2 linked regions of the Schizosaccharomyces pombe genome follow. The protein of the gene in region 1 interacts with the protein of each later gene in a biochemical or structural test. Each region holds a gene or a part of one and is shown on either strand. Other genes may lie near its edges.

Region 1 (8,699 bases):
AAGAATGTAGTTGACGAGGCCTCATGCGAGAGATGTCGTTTTTGGATAGAGAGTGAACCACCACACGCTAACCTTTATGAGTATAATGGAGCATGTAAGTCCTTTGTCCATTCTGAAGCAGGTGGCTCTGATACCTCCCAAACTGTTTCAGAGCCCATCAGTCTGGACTCAATGCTATTGCGTGGTTGTGTCCTTAGGAATACAAAATGGGTGATTGGAGTTGTCGTATTTACTGGCGATGATACCAAGATTATGCTGAACTCTGGTGCTCCGCCATTAAAGCGTAGTCGCATTACTAGAAATCTTAATTGGAATGTTTATCTTAATTTCATTATCCTTTTCTCCATGTGTTTTGTTTGCGCAGTTGTCGAAGGAATCGCCTGGCGTGGTCATTCTCGCTCCTCGTATTACTTTGAGTTTGGTTCCATTGGTGGTTCTCCTGCCAAAGATGGTGTCGTCACGTTTTTCACTGGTGTTATTCTTTTTCAAAACTTGGTGCCCATTTCGCTTTATATTTCAATTGAAATCGTTAAGACCATCCAGGCAATTTTTATATATTTCGACAAAGACATGTATTATAAGAAGCTAAAGTATGCTTGTACTCCAAAATCTTGGAATATTTCTGACGATCTTGGACAAGTGGAATATATCTTTTCTGATAAAACAGGTACTCTTACTCAAAATGTTATGGAATTTAAAAAATGTACGATCAACGGAGTTGCGTATGGTGAGGCATTTACCGAAGCAATGGCGGGAATGGCAAAACGCGAGGGAAAGGATACTGAAGAATTGACTCTTCAAAAGCAAAGTTTCATTGAACGTGACCGAATGCAAATGATTTCTCAAATGCGAAATATGCACGACAACAAATACCTTGTGGATGATAACCTCACGTTCATCTCGTCGCAGTTTGTTCATGACCTTGCTGGCAAAGCTGGTGAAGAACAGTCACTTGCATGCTATGAGTTTTTCTTGGCATTGGCCCTTTGTCATAGCGTAGTTGCAGACAGAGTTGGTGACCGGATTGTCTATAAAGCACAATCGCCAGATGAAGCTGCACTCGTGGGTACCGCCCGCGACGTTGGCTTTGTTTTTTTGGACCAGCGGAGAGACATTATGGTTACTCGTGCTCTTGGAGAAACCCAAAGATTCAAATTGATGGATACTATTGAATTCAGCTCAGCGAGGAAGAGAATGAGTGTGATCGTTAAAGGACCCGATAACCGTTATGTGCTTATTTGCAAAGGTGCTGATAGCATTATTTTCGAACGTTTGGAACCAAATGAACAAGTTGAATTACGTAAAACCACTTCTGAGCATCTCAGAATTTTTGCATTGGAAGGTTTACGAACACTTTGTATCGCAAAAAGAGAGCTTACTGAAGAGGAATATTACGAATGGAAAGAAAAGTATGACATCGCCGCATCTGCAATTGAAAACCGTGAGGAGCAAATAGAGGAAGTTGCCGATTTGATTGAATCTCATCTTACTTTGCTCGGTGGAACAGCTATTGAGGATCGATTACAAGAAGGAGTACCTGATTCAATTGCATTATTGGCTCAAGCCGGTATCAAATTGTGGGTTCTGACCGGAGACAAAATGGAGACTGCTATTAATATTGGTTTTTCTTGCAATTTATTGGACGCTGGCATGGACATGATTAAGTTTGATGTGGACCAAGAAGTGTCAACACCAGAGTTGGAAGTTATTTTAGCTGACTACTTATATCGTTATTTTGGTTTGTCTGGATCAGTTGAAGAACTTGAAGCTGCTAAGAAGGATCATGACACTCCCTCTGGCTCTCATGCGTTAGTTATTGATGGATCAGTACTTAAACGAGTTTTAGATGGTCCAATGAGAACCAAGTTTCTGCTACTTTGTAAAAGATGCAAGGCTGTCTTGTGTTGCCGTGTTAGTCCGGCTCAAAAAGCAGATGTTGTTCAATTGGTACGCGAAAGCCTTGAAGTAATGACGTTAGCCATTGGAGATGGTGCGAATGATGTTGCAATGATTCAAAAAGCTGATATTGGTGTTGGTATTGTTGGTGAAGAAGGCCGTGCTGCAGCTATGTCTGCGGATTATGCAATCGGTCAATTCCGATTTTTGAGCAAGCTGGTTCTTGTTCATGGCCGTTGGGATTATAATCGTGTTGCTGAAATGGTAAACAACTTTTTCTACAAGAGTGTTGTATGGACATTTACTTTATTCTGGTATCAGATTTACAACAATTTCGACGCAAATTACCTTTTCGATTATACTTATGTTATGCTGTTTAACTTGATTTTTTCATCGTTACCTGTCATTGTCATGGGTGTCTATGATCAAGATGTTAATGCTGATTTGTCGCTTCGGATCCCTCAGCTTTACAAGCGTGGTATTTTGCAATTAAATTCAGCCAGGAAAATCTTTATTGGATATATGCTTGATGGGTTTTATCAGTCTGTAATCTGTTTCTTTTTCTCTTTTCTTGTGATTAACAATGTGACCACAGCTGCTCAGAATGGTCGTGATACTATGGCTGTACAAGATTTAGGTGTTTACGTTGCTGCGCCAACTATTATGGTTGTCGACACGTATGTTATTCTGAATCAATCAAATTGGGATGTGTTTTCAATTGGTTTATGGGCGCTCAGTTGTTTGACATTTTGGTTTTGGACTGGCGTCTACTCTCAAAGCCTTTATACATATGAATTTTATAAATCTGCTTCGCGTATATTCAGAACTCCAAATTTTTGGGCTGTTTTATGTGGAACGATTGTAAGTTGTCTTTTCCCGAAGTTTTTGTTTATGACAACGCAAAAGTTATTTTGGCCATATGATGTGGATATCATTCGCGAAAGTTACCGCACTAAACGCCTTCATGAATTGGATGAAGAAGAGGAGATTGAGAATGCCGAACAATCTCCAGATTGGGCATCTTCTACTTTACAGGTCCCTTTCAACGCATCTTCGTCAAGTTTGGCGACACCCAAGAAAGAACCTTTACGTTTGGACACAAATTCGCTTACACTCACATCAAGTATGCCAAGAAGCTTTACCCCGTCATATACTCCAAGTTTCTTGGAGGGCTCTCCTGTGTTCTCTGATGAAATACTTAACAGAGGCGAATACATGCCTCATCGTGGTTCCATTTCTTCTTCTGAACAGCCGTTACGGCCTTAAAAAATGGCAAGTTAATAAGCTGAATTATCTAATCAAGATAATCTGTGTACCCATTCTATTTCTACGCTATGCTTAAGAACATAACTTTTCATACTAAAGAATGATGAATTATCGAATAATGATTATGATGTTATAGAAACATCTCTGCATACTAAATAAAATACATGAACGTTTACATTTTTCTTCTGAAATCAAAAGATTGCATCAAATTTAAAATGTATTTTGCATTCACAGTACATTTTAAAAATAACGAGATAAATTTACTATATCTAGTTTACATTTGTATGATAAATAATAAAAACAGACTTTTTAACAATCTTGTTCTAAGTAGTAAATTTGGTGGTTGGTTTTTTAAGTTTTGAAATTTCCAGCGACTGCTGTAATCAAACTTTGGTTGCTAAGGGTAAATGGCTGATACCTAACTCCGATGGAAATGTACTCTGCCGTAAACAAAACACGTAAGGTTATTATTGACAGGAGTTTTGCATTTTTTGGGGACCAAAACGTTGGATGTTTACGATACATATTTAAAGAAAACTAATAATGAATCGTGTTAATGATATGTCACCAGTTGAAGGTGATTTAGGACTTCAGCTAAGTTCTGAAGCAGATAAGAAATTTGATGCATATATGAAGCGACATGGTCTTTTTGAACCCGGCAACTTGTCGAATAATGATAAAGAAAGGAATTTGGAGGATCAATTTAATAGTATGAAGCTTTCCCCAGTGGCATCTTCGAAGGAAAATTATCCTGACAATCATATGCATTCAAAACACATTAGTAAGTTACCGATTGCAAGCCCTATTCCGCGTGGTCTTGATAGATCTGGCGAGTTGAGCTACAAGGATAATAATCATTGGTCAGATAGAAGTTCAACGGGTTCACCAAGATGGGAAAATGGATCTATGAACTTGTCAGTTGAAGAAATGGAGAAAGTGGTCCAACCTAAGGTAAAGAGAATGGCAACCATTTGTCAAATGTTCTTTTTAGACCATTACTTTGAGCAGCTTCATTATCTTTATACCCGCAAGCAAAGAGCCCGTCTTTTTGAAGAGCAGTTGCTTAAAGAGCCTGATTCACGAAGAGACGAGCTAGTGAAGCGATACAATGGACGTGAACGAGTATATCTAAGGAAAAGGAGGACACGCATTAGTCACGGAGATTTCCAGACCATCACTCAAGTCGGACAAGGTGGATATGGCTCTGTTTGGTTGGCTAGGAAGCGTGACACCAAAGAGATTGTTGCTTTGAAAATCATGAATAAATCGGTTTTGCATAAAATGGATGAGATCAGGCATGTTCTTACTGAGCGTGATATCCTTACGACAGCCAACTCGGAATGGTTAGTTCGTCTACTTTATGCTTTTCAGGATACTTCAAACATTTATCTCGCTATGGAATTTGTTCCTGGTGGTGATTTCCGTACTTTGCTTAGCAACAGTGGTGTTTTAAGGGATCATCATGCCAAGTTTTATGCTACAGAAATGTTCCTAGCTATTGATGCTTTGCATCAACTTGGTTACATCCATCGTGACCTTAAGCCAGAAAACTTTTTGGTTGGAGCTAGCGGCCATATTAAATTGACGGACTTTGGTTTAAGTTCTGGAATAATCAGCAAAAAGAAGATTGAAAGTATGAAGATTCGTCTTCAAGAAGTCAACAATGTCGTTGTTCCCGAAAGGAGCATGAGGGAAAGGCGACAAGTGTTTCGAACTCTTTTATCTCAGGATCCTGTATACGCTCATTCAGTAGTTGGCTCTCCTGATTATATGGCCCCAGAGGTTTTACGAGGTGAAAACTACAACCACTCTGTAGACTATTGGTCTCTTGGCTGCATCATGTATGAATGTCTTTCTGGTTTTCCTCCATTTTCTGGCTCCAATGTTAATGAAACCTGGTCTAACTTGAAGAATTGGCGCAAGTGTTTTCAACGCCCTCACTATGATGATCCCCGCGATTTGGAATTCAACTGGAGAGATGATGCATGGGATTTTGTATGTCACTGCATTACTGATCCCAAGGATCGCTTTTGTTCTCTTAAGCAAGTCATGCAACATCCTTACTTCTCAAAGATTGATTGGAAAAATGTTCGTACAGCATATCGTCCTCCGTTTGTACCCGACCTTAATTCTGAGATTGACGCAGGATATTTTGATGATTTCACTAATGAAAATGATATGTCTAAATATAAGGAAGTTCATGAGAAACAAGCTGCAATTGCTAATATGGTTAACACATTTAATAAGCCTAAACGCAATGCTTTTATCGGCTTCACTTTTAGGCATCAAAAAAATAGTCATCCTACTAGCTCTAGTAGCGCATTATCTAGTCCCCTCTCTGCTCCTTCTTTCGGGACTCTATTATAATCAAAGGGAAATTTAATGACCCTTGTTCATGGTATTTTTATAAGACATCTACTGTTATTAACTATTTTCGAAGATACTGAGCTTCGCTTTTGATGTTTTGACATTTACAGTACTGTCTTTTACTATTGCATTTCACTTTCGAACGGCATTTACATTACAATTTGCGAAAGTTATCACTTTAATTTTATGATGTTTATTTGGAAGTATCCTTTTTCATTATATTATATTATATTTTTATTTATCTTCCACTATTTTATTCGTCAATATTCAGCTTTCGCCATTTATATAGAAGAACTTGCAATTACCAGATAAATTATGTAAATCATTTACTTGATAGGGAAATAGACACTATCTGCAATTTAATATCTTGAACCATTTTTACTATTTTGGAAAATTTTTGTTTTCGTGTATTATTTGTTGTTTAGTGAGCTGTAAGATATTCGTTTTGTTGGCAACAGCAGAAGAGCTGTAACATTCATCAAACTGCGATACCTCATTATCCTCGTTTCTTACTGCTTTCCTCCTAAAGCGTCTACCTTTTGCTCTTTATTTCACTCGTAAATTAATCTGTTAATGAAAGATTCACATAGCTCTCGGAGGAAGTATGAGAAGGAAAAGTTGGTATTCGCAACGAATAATGGAAAAAGAACAGAGGGTACCCCAGCTTTTTTAAAAAGCGGTAACACAGCTTCTTCATCCTCCCCTACTCTTCAATTTCGTCCTACATCGAGATATCCGACATTGAGCCATGAACCAGTGTATACGAATGTTTTGGACCTGTCTTCAAGGATTGACGCGAACAGGGCTAGTATAATGAGCGCTACAATGGGTACTCCACCTTCAGCATTGAAATTCTCCAAGAAAAAAATATCCCGGCCTGTTGTTAGTGAAGATACCTTCAAAGACAAATTGCCGCGTGCAACCATACCGGTCAAGCCGGAGCCACAGCCACAGTATAAAATTCCAGCTGCACCTGCTCCTACAAGCAAACGTGTAGTTAACCGTGGGTTAAAGCTGAACACTAATTTGAGACAGGCTTCTCCTATTTTGCCTTCACCTAGTTTAAAGTTGGATCGGCAAGATGCCCCAATACAAATAAATCATGAGCAGAAAGAAGATTTTTTGGTTTCTATTCCGCGACCAACGCCAATGACCAATTTAGATGATGGAAAGGATGAGATTGGACAACCGGATCCTCATAGAAAATATATGGCACCTCCACGTGTTAATTCTATAAGTCGTGTACAGCGTCGTATGAGTTACATACCATACGGTGGGTTTGATGACTTCTTAGATAACTATTACAAGGATGACGATACTGTACTTGAAGACAATCAGCTTAAGAGTAACTCTCGAATAGAAACTTTGGAGGAAGAAGATGGAGCAGAAAGTGACTCCATCACAAATACAGTTTCTAATGCTTCGTCAGATGCAGAACCTGCTCATCGTCATTTGGGACCAGTTTATGAAAACTCTGGACACCTCCCTTCAAAAAGTCACTTTTCATCAACCGACTCGAATACAGATTCATTCGGGTTAGAAAGCGATGAACGTTCGCTTCCTTCAGTTTCTAATGACTTAAAATCATCCGAAACTTTGAAAAATCCTCGAAATGATGATTTGCTTACACTTCAACAACCACCTCGTTATCCACATTCTCAAATGGTAATGCTACCAGCTCGTTCTCCAGTTGAGGTTCCTGCTCCTACATTTGATCGTAGAAATGTTTCGAGGAACTCGAATAATAACTCTCCCGAAGGTTATGATAATAATCGCACAAACCCAACTGTTAATAATTTACCTTCATATCCTACAAACCTTGCACGTCCTAAGGCAATTAAACCAATGCCTACTTCTATACACGGTCAAACAAGTCCTTTATCGCCAATTCCTCCGGTACACACAACCCATGGGTTAGTTTCTGACATTCGTCCTCTCCCTTCTGTTTCTTCCCCGATAATGCGTGCTGATAGCACACCGATTTCACATAACTTAGCTGTGACACCTTCGTTTTCCCCTATTCCACAGCAAAGTAATAAGTCTATTGGTAATCACAAAAATACATCGGTTGCTAATGTATCATCCAAGGTTGCTAATTCCAAGTTTGAAAGGAATATATCTATGATGTCTAACAGTAATGCTTCTTCACCCGCTATTTTTGAAGTGGGTGCAGAAGCAAAAGAAAAGACGAAGGATGCGATTCCTTGTCATCCTGATGATAAGTTGATGATTCCGTCACCAAAAATTGTGACGCACGGAGACGCTATGCAAGAAGAACAGCGTCTTCGCCAAAAATCTCAAATCACACCTGATGACGAAGTTGAGTTGGCAAAAGTTTATTTGAATGCATTAGAAACTTTAGAAAACAAGCCGAGCTTAGCTCCCGACCAGGCTAGTTATAATACTCGAATCAATGTTTATCGAACCAGAGCTGTTGAACTTTTAAAAAAGAATGCTTATCCTAGCAAAACCCAGAATACTGTACCCGAAGCTCTGTTTTTAATAGGACAATTTCACAGTCAGGGGGTATTAGGATTTAGACGCGATTTGGGAAAAGCATTTGAGTTGTACAGCCTTGCAGCTAAAAAAGGACATCCTTTGAGTAATTACAGAGTTGCTGTTTGTCTTCAAACTGGTACCGGGGTTAAGCCGGACACTAGTAAGTGCGTTGCCATCTATAAAAAGGCAGCTGAAATGGATGTAGTCGAAGCTATGTTTCGTATCGCTCTGATTTACTTAAATGGTTTGTTAGGGCAAAAACGCAATATATCTCTCGGTGTGCAATGGCTCGAACGTGCATGTAAGTCTAAGGGGCCCGAATCAGTTAGAGCTATGTATGAACTTGCAAAGATTTATGAGCAACCGGATCGTTACGGAGTATCTGCAACCCCTGAAAGAAAGTTTGAACTTTACAAACAATCAGCTGTCTATGGCTACGCTGCCGCCCAGTGTAAACTTGGGGAGTGCTATGAACACGGTTTATTAGGGTGTTTAGCAGAACCTCGACGCAGTATTTTTTGGTACACGCGTGCTGCCGAACAAGACTATGGCGAGGCAGAACTAGGACTTTCCGGTTGGTATTTAACGGGTTCAGAGGGTATTTTGCCTAAGAATGGAGAAGAAGCTTTACTTTGGGCGCATAAAGCGGCTTGCAAAGGTTTGGCTAAAGC
Region 2 (7,884 bases), on another chromosome or scaffold:
ATAAATCAAATGAAAGAAGCATCGTTTTTGATGCATGTAACATAGACATGTTTTACAGTGTTGCACTTAAATAGAATGGGAAATGTTCTGTAATATCCAAAATTTCATGGTTTTGATTTACCAGCGCATTACTAACGTTGTAGAAGGGGATTCGTAAAAGTTATATATAGTTAAACATGAAAATTGTGTGCGATAAAAGCCCTATGCGAAACATTAGCTCACTAGACACACAGTCATAAACACGATCACAAGTCCGGGCAGTTTGATTGAAAATGGCTCGTTTCAAACTATTTTAAATTATTTACAAGAATAAACAACCTTTGTAGAACACAAGTGAAAAGGATATGGAAAGAAGCTTGTAAAACAAGATGCAACTGAAAACGGTTTTACTTCAATGATAGCAAAGACATTTAAGAAAATGAAAATAGAAAATAAATGAAAAAGATCATAGATCGATGAGCGTTTGCAAATTTCGGAAAGCCCAATTTTCTTTTCAATTCAACAAAACCCTAGAATTGGGGTTAGAAAAATATAAATTGTCCGTTTGCTTTTACCAATTTTTTTCAACAAACAAGTTTAACTGAATTCGAATAAAAAGATCCCAATTCTCGCAATATCTCTCATTTTCAAATAAACCAGCAAATCCAATATCAATGCCACTTGATAACACACATAAAACTGATCATTTTAAATCCAGCATTCAGACGCAAGAAAAATGCCATGTCCTCAACGGAAAAAAAGAAAAACCAGGCCATATTCAGAGAGGTCATAAAAAAAATTTCAACTCATCTCATCACTGTATCGAAGACATCTTAAAAAGATACATAAAAAGCTTTATATATTCTCCATGTATGCACTGTATAACACAATTTGGGATAATCAGAGTACATGAAGACAATTAGTCTCTTTCAGGCATCAATTTTCGCACGCTGAATATCCCTCCTCTTCTTCTCGTAGACAAATTTATCAACTTCAAAAACAAACAAACCACTCCTTCTTCTTTTCGTAAATAAGAATGATTTAAAAAAAATACAAATACTACGAAATCCGGTCAAACGAACAAAAAATTGTGCAATGATCGAACAGGTGCTTATTAAAACTGCAAATTATGTTACTGACTGACTTTCCTTAGCAAAGCAAGCGACAATTTGCAAAACATTATTTTACAAAGGTAAGTAGAAAGTAAGAGAAGCGAAGCATGAAACAGAAACGATATATCGGCAGAGATATTATCAAGAAAATTTGTCCAAAGAACTGTACAGATATAATAATGCATACTAAACTTATATATAAGAAATTGATTATCAAAAATCACCCTTGCTTGCTTAATCTTAACTGACAAAACTGAGAAAAATCATGATATACATATCATCGTACTAGATGCCAAGAAACCCCAATTAAAGCAAGCTCGACGCAAACCCGAGAGGAATTATGTATAACGTTCTTGACAAAAGAGTGACAAGGCAAGCACTGCAACATGCGATTATTGGCTTTATGGACGCGTAGTAATGGAAACAAAAATTATGGAGAAGGGATCATTAAGAATTTTTGGGCACTAAGTAACTTTATGTTGCTGGAACAGTGTGGTAACGCAAGTCAATGCTATTGCGAAAAAAAGGTTAAGGGAATATCATCACAATGTGAGGTGAAATAAAATTGCAAACACCAAGTCGCTTTTTTGAAGGGAAACAATCTAAACTATAGCGACTGAAAATAGCTAGGAAAAAAAGATTAAAAAACAAACCCATGTAACTTATAATATCGTTTTGCGTAACAAGCTGCCAAGGAAAAATAGAATATACCTCACGCGCAAAGCAAACGGAAATAAAAATATGGAAGTTGAGAACTGGAAGAGAGAAAGAAAGTGTCGGACAAGGAAGTAAAAAAAGCTACGTTTTAAAAAACAAAAACTATTACATGTTTGAGGGGGTATATGTGTGCCATAAAAAACAAGATATTTGACTTGCACATACCAAAGTTAGATGAAATACTCGCTTCTTTTTCTGCTAGGGGGAACGGTACGATCTTCGTCGGCAACAGCCGAGAAAATACGAAATTCCGGTTCCAAAGATTCATCTACTTTCATAACACTTGCCACATTTCCACATCTATAGCAGTAATTGGGAGCACTCCAAACGGTAACAAGATTTTTATCGGCAAAATGATATTTGTAGCCCTCTTGAACAAGTTGATGAGCACGAGCAATCAATGTCAAGTCGTTGATTTGACTAAATTCGGTAGTAACTTTAGAACCAAACAACCATCCAGCTCCCCGAGGCGAAACAGTCCAAGATTCAATATCCTCTGGATCAGACCACATCAAATCGCAAAATGAGCCTTCATGGGGAATTTCTTGAGCACGCGCAAGAATACGAATCTGATCCAATGTGCGAACTTCCGGAGATAATCCACCATGCACGCATAAAATTTTGTTATCGATAACCGCTGCCAAAGTCAAAAAATCAAAAACTTGGCAACAATATTTCCAAACATTTGCATTTCCATATTTGGTTTGACACTCATCATAAAACCCGTAGACTTGAGTGATCTGGCGACTTTCGTGATTACCACGAAGCAATGTAATTTTATCTGGGTACCTTGCTTTCAAAAGCATAAATAACGTAAAAGTTTCTAAGCTAAAATAACCTCGATCCACAAAATCACCCATAAATATATAATTTGTGCTTGGCAATTCTCCACCTACTCGAAACAGTTCCAAAAGGTCGTAAAACTGACCATGTATATCACCACAAACAGTAACGGGAGTCCGCACAGGCTGGATATTGGACTCCTCCATTAAAATAACTTTTACCATCTCACACAATCGTTTCAACTGGTGTTCTGGAAGATATTTACACTTCCTTACTGTAGCGATCCATTCATCCAAGTCAAACATCGTTGTAGCACAAATTATTCAAGGATCTCTTCTAGATTATTAAACACAGTTATTTCTCAATACTTTCCTATTTAGAAATTGGCTTCCTAATTAAATATGTTGTTTGCGGAGAGTACGTAAGTTAGTACGTTGAATACTTAAGAGGGGTGTTTAACGTATTGTAACGATTAACGGCGTACCAAGTCTTTATCAGATATGGATGTTTGGTACATTCAAAAGTCGTATGAAAAAGTCTACATGTGGAAATGACCTTTTATATACAAATTTATATAGTCCGCTGATTAAATTGGGATGTCGTCGAACACATTTTATCCTTATTGCTAACGTCAAATTTTGTTGCAAATTTTCTTAAATTACCGAGGTGGGATTGCTTTAAATTATAAATACTTGTAGAGTTTTAAACGATTGAAAGTCTAGGTCATGAGGCGAAGATGAGAGAGTAGCATAACGAGAAACGTTGTCTGTAGAACGACAATAAAAGTGTCGTTTCCATAACCTTTAAATATAGTAAGCGAATTTAGGATCAGTTCGAAGATTGTTGCAAGCGTAGATCCAACTTGTGAAAAACTTGCTTACTAAAGAGCTTTCAAAGTCATGAAGAATATATGATATCTTGTTGATATAAATGGCATCTCCGTCGTCAAGTATGCGAAACCGTAGGCAAAAGAAAAATCGTACAGAGAAGGTTACCGAAGCAATTGCTATTAATTGTTTTTTATCGAGTCTTCCGAGTTAACAGAATAAAGTGAATCTCTCATGCACAAGTTTATCAACTCTTAGAACTACTTATAGCTTTGATTTTTTCCTCAAATACTTATGGCCATAATTTTCCTTCTGAATAAATAAATTTACTGGAATTCAACGTAACAAACAAAATAACGCTATACCCTTATTGTGGAAAATATCGTAAAATATGATAAGCAGCATTACGAATACGCTTGAATATCCTATGTCAAATTGTGCAAAAGGGTGATTGAGTCCCAGTACCACGACATCCCGTCGCGTCTCATAGACGTAAACAAAACTTCTTTTTTCTATGGAAGGTATGTGTGCTTTTCAGAAATCATGGAACAGTTATGGCTTGAACATGATTTAAGTGAAGAATGGATTCCGCAGCCACAAGAACAAGGGTCAGACAATTCTAGTGAACCACCAACCACATCAAATGTAAACAATACTCAATCTACAGGTCGTGGTAGTTCAGGAACTTCGACAGAGCATGGAACGTTTAAGAAAGGAAGAAATGATGCTCCGGATGTTCCTCAATGGAAACAGGTGAATGCAAAGAACCCTGTTGCTCGTGATATTTTTGCAAGGTTGGATTTGGAAAATATGTTTGAAGAAAGCAGCAAACAAAGCCCCCCTTCAAAGTCTCCAACAAAAAATCCGTCCAAAAAGTCCAGTAATAACTCTTCTAGGCGTAGTTCTTCTTCAGTTGGTAAACTATCTAATGTATCGAACATGCAATCTTCTCCTTCTAAAGATCCTTTCGTTTCACAGGATTACGAAAAAGAATCTATCTCCTCTTCTCAGTTTAGCAAAAAATACTCAGAAGGAAGCTTGAAAAGTCAACAATCTAATACCAGGTCTAACTCGGTTCACGAAAAGCAAAATACGGACCATGCTAGCAATGCATCGTCATCCTCATCCGTTGTTTCTTCTCCCTCCTTGAAGCCCAATAATACATCCCCCCTTAAACTTTTCCAAGGAGCTAGTGATCCGTTTACTCGTGAGCATTTGAATCAATTAACTCAAGATGTAAAGTCCAATTCATTTGAAAATGGGGAAAAACAATTTTCACTCCCTGAACCACGAAGACCACAAAAACCTATGCGTACAACTGAACGAAAGGCTAGCCTCAATACCAAAGATCTCTATCAAGAGGTTGAAGAAGTCATGGCAAGATTGCGAGGAAGAATGCCTAATTCGGGACGAGAATCTACAATTTTTCTTCCTCGAAAGCTCAGCGGACTTCGTGAGGAGGAGGAACAAGATGAAATTTCAGTTGAAGTAAGTCAAGAAGATAGCTCTAATGCATTTCCCTCCTTAAGTGATCAACTTCATTTAAAAAGTCTTCAAAGTATGAAAAGGGTTACCTCAATTTTCAATGATAATGATGATTCCTTTCCATCCGCATCTTCCTCCCCTCAACGCCAGGCATATATGACCGATAAAATGCCACTTCGGGAAATTGATGTTGGCTCTTCACAATCCTCTTCCAAGACTGCCCGATTAAATAGCTCTCCCAAATCAACGCTAAAAACTTCCAGTGTTAAAACCAGAAGAAGTCACTCTGCTCAAAGCTCAAGAAAAGTGTCTGATTATCCCAATATGGTGGTTATAACGCCAGCAGATCTTCCTGAAGGCATAGATACAACTCAAGGCTCCATGGAATTTGACAGGATACACAATCGGTGGCGGAGAAAAGGTCATGATTCAGACTTGGGCTTTGATTTTGAAACCGACGAAGATGCTAGTCTTTCGCATCCTGAGCGTACAATACTGTTTAAAGCGGCATCCACCAGACATCAAGCGAACAATGATCCAAACAATTTGGAGAAGCAACAACCTCATTCCTTTCCTTTGCGTAAGCAAAATGTTGCTCAATCCGAATTTCCTAAGCATTCATTAAGAGACAATAGCGAAAACGCTCCGCAAATTTTATCTTCCTTTCACGATTTATCCTTACAAAATGAGAGCTTTGATGAAATGTTTAATGGCAGGTATGAAAATGGGTCACCAATTCCTTTTATTTCTTCAGGTTCTGGATTGAAAAGTAAAGCCGACAAAGATGCTGAATATAGTTTTTCAGTATCTCGTCAATCCATAATTCAAATTCTTTCTGATGTTGAACCATATGAGCCTTTCTGGAAAAGGATTATACAATTAGACATCAGTAGACGACATTTGGATTCCTTGATTGGACTTTCTGAACTCTGTCCCTCTATTGAAGAGCTCACGTTGGAAGGAAATGAAATTGCTTACTTAACAGGATGCCCCGTTACGATAAGAGACCTGAATGCTGTTGAAAATCGATTGTCAAGTTTGACTTCATTTTCCAACCTATTAAACCTACAATATCTGGACATATCATATAATCAACTAGAGGACCTTACTGGTCTTTCTTCTCTAATTCACCTTCGTGAGTTGAAAGTTGACAGTAATCATCTATGGAGTTTAGATGGGATTCAACATTTGGATGGATTGCTAAAATTAAGCGCTTGCAATAACAGGATTAAAGAATTGTCATTTACGAATTCCAATCTTCATCGTCTTGAGGAATTGCTCTTGGGAAATAACGAAATAGAAGAAATCGAAGAAATAAGTTCGCTTCAAAACCTTATGGTTTTACAATTGGACAATAACAAACTAACCAACTTGAAAGCTAGCCAACCAATGATTCATTTGCGAATTTTACGCATCAGCAACAACGCCATACATCAACTTGAGGTAGATCAATTTCCTCATTTACGAACTTTATACATGGACCTTAATCGATTTAATCGTCCCCCTGACATCCGTCGACTAAAACGCTTAGTCAATTTTTCGTTCAGGACTCAAGATCCTGAAGCCTCCAATTTTGTCATTCAACCCTCTTTAGATATTCGAAATCTATACCTATCGAATAACACCTTCGTTACTCTTGATTGTAAGCACATGTTTCTGGGAGTGAGGTATCTGGAGCTTGCAAACGTTCAGCTCAAAGAAGTACCTAAATACATTGCGACCAGTATGCCCAATTTACGTGTATTGGACTTATCACATAACTATATATCAGACATAGAGTCGCTGAAACCATTGCAAATGATCCACCGACTTTACTTAGTGGGAAATAGAATCAAAAAGATGCGAAATTTATGTGATATATTGGCAAACCTGAAACAGTTAAACGTACTGGATCTGCGCATGAATCCTCTTAATTTCAACATTTATCCCGTAATTGACGACTCTATTTATGAGCTCTCTGCAGCCTCAAAATACCAACAAAGTATCAACCAAAAAGGTCATCATAGAAAAGAAGACCCGCAAAAGCAATGGCAGGAGAAAGAGCTGGCCTTTAGTTCCACTTTGTCTGAGGCATGGAGAACAAGAAGAAAAATGTATGCTGAAGCTATTTTATTGGCATGTCCACACTTAGAATGGTTGGATGGATCTGATGTTTCACAATCATCTCGCGCTGCATTCACCAAATCATCCAACTAGTATGACTTGTGAAGATATAGCTTGAAACATTTTTACCTTTCAAATAGCAAGATTGTTTCGCTGTTGTGTAAAGGTTAATAATCACAATACATAATACACCATAATACTCGCCATTACCATAGTGTAAATAATAATTCGATTTCTGGATGGCACATACAAAATGAATAAGCATAATGAAACGTGAAGGTCGTCTAAAAATATATATATATTAAAAAAAAAGAAAAAGAACCCTATTGAAAGAATAAAAAATAAAAGAAAACCCCTCCAACTCTTCTTACATTCAACTAGCTTAAAACAGATAAATTCTATTGAGAAACAGTGACATTAAACACACACATATGTACCATATAAGTATCAACTAAATAAAGGAAAAAGGTAAAGGGGGGACGGTTAAAAAATGCTTTGAAAGTGAAATTAGAAAACATGTAGAGATGATAAATGATAGATAAAACTCGATTGGTCGATAATTTACGAGCGGCCCCATGAAAATCTGCTGGGCTTCTTGTCGTTATTGGCTTGAACATCATTAATCGACCATGGATTTGGAGCTGGAGCTGAAGCGGGATCTTTAAAGGGATTTTCAGGATCTCTAAACGGATTTTCAGGAGCCTGTTCTGCAGGCTTATTGCGCATAAACGGAAAGCGGAAGCCCGAGTTAGATTTCGGAACGGGAACGGGCTCACGAACAGTTGGGGCATAGGAAGACAGAGAACGACTATCGTTGCTAAAAGTAGGCTTCAATTTTGAGACAGAGCCTCCACGCTTGAGACCATCATCCTCGGAAA

Evidence for each region. Proteins that work in one complex are often made in the same cells at the same time.
Region 2: the proteins of sid2 (region 1) and cdc11 form a complex in vitro, tested with the Schizosaccharomyces pombe proteins (3 studies listed by BioGRID, with this or other methods).

Annotation. Positions count from the first base shown.
Region 1 is NC_003424.3:218,859-227,557, reverse strand, and holds sid2 (serine/threonine protein kinase (NDR family) Sid2), read left to right. Parts: upstream 1-3,604; 5' UTR 3,605-3,705; coding exon 3,706-5,529; 3' UTR 5,530-5,864; downstream 5,865-8,699. Other genes in the region: dnf2 (phospholipid-transporting ATPase), read left to right, coding at 1-3,162; cfh1 (chitin synthase regulatory factor-like Chr3), read left to right, coding at 6,103-8,699. UniProt on the Schizosaccharomyces pombe protein: Part of a signaling pathway. Required for initiation of medial ring constriction and septation.
Region 2 is NC_003421.2:2,048,630-2,056,513, reverse strand, and holds cdc11 (SIN component scaffold protein cdc11), read left to right. Parts: upstream 1-3,910; 5' UTR 3,911-3,961; coding exon 3,962-7,099; 3' UTR 7,100-7,384; downstream 7,385-7,884. Other genes in the region: serine/threonine protein phosphatase PP6 catalytic subunit Ppe1, read right to left, coding at 1,979-2,896; protein mug33, read right to left, coding at 7,568-7,884. UniProt on the Schizosaccharomyces pombe protein: Essential for the onset of septum formation. Involved in the organization of astral microtubules during mitosis. Acts as a bridge between sid4 and the other SIN proteins mediating their association with the spindle pole body (SPB).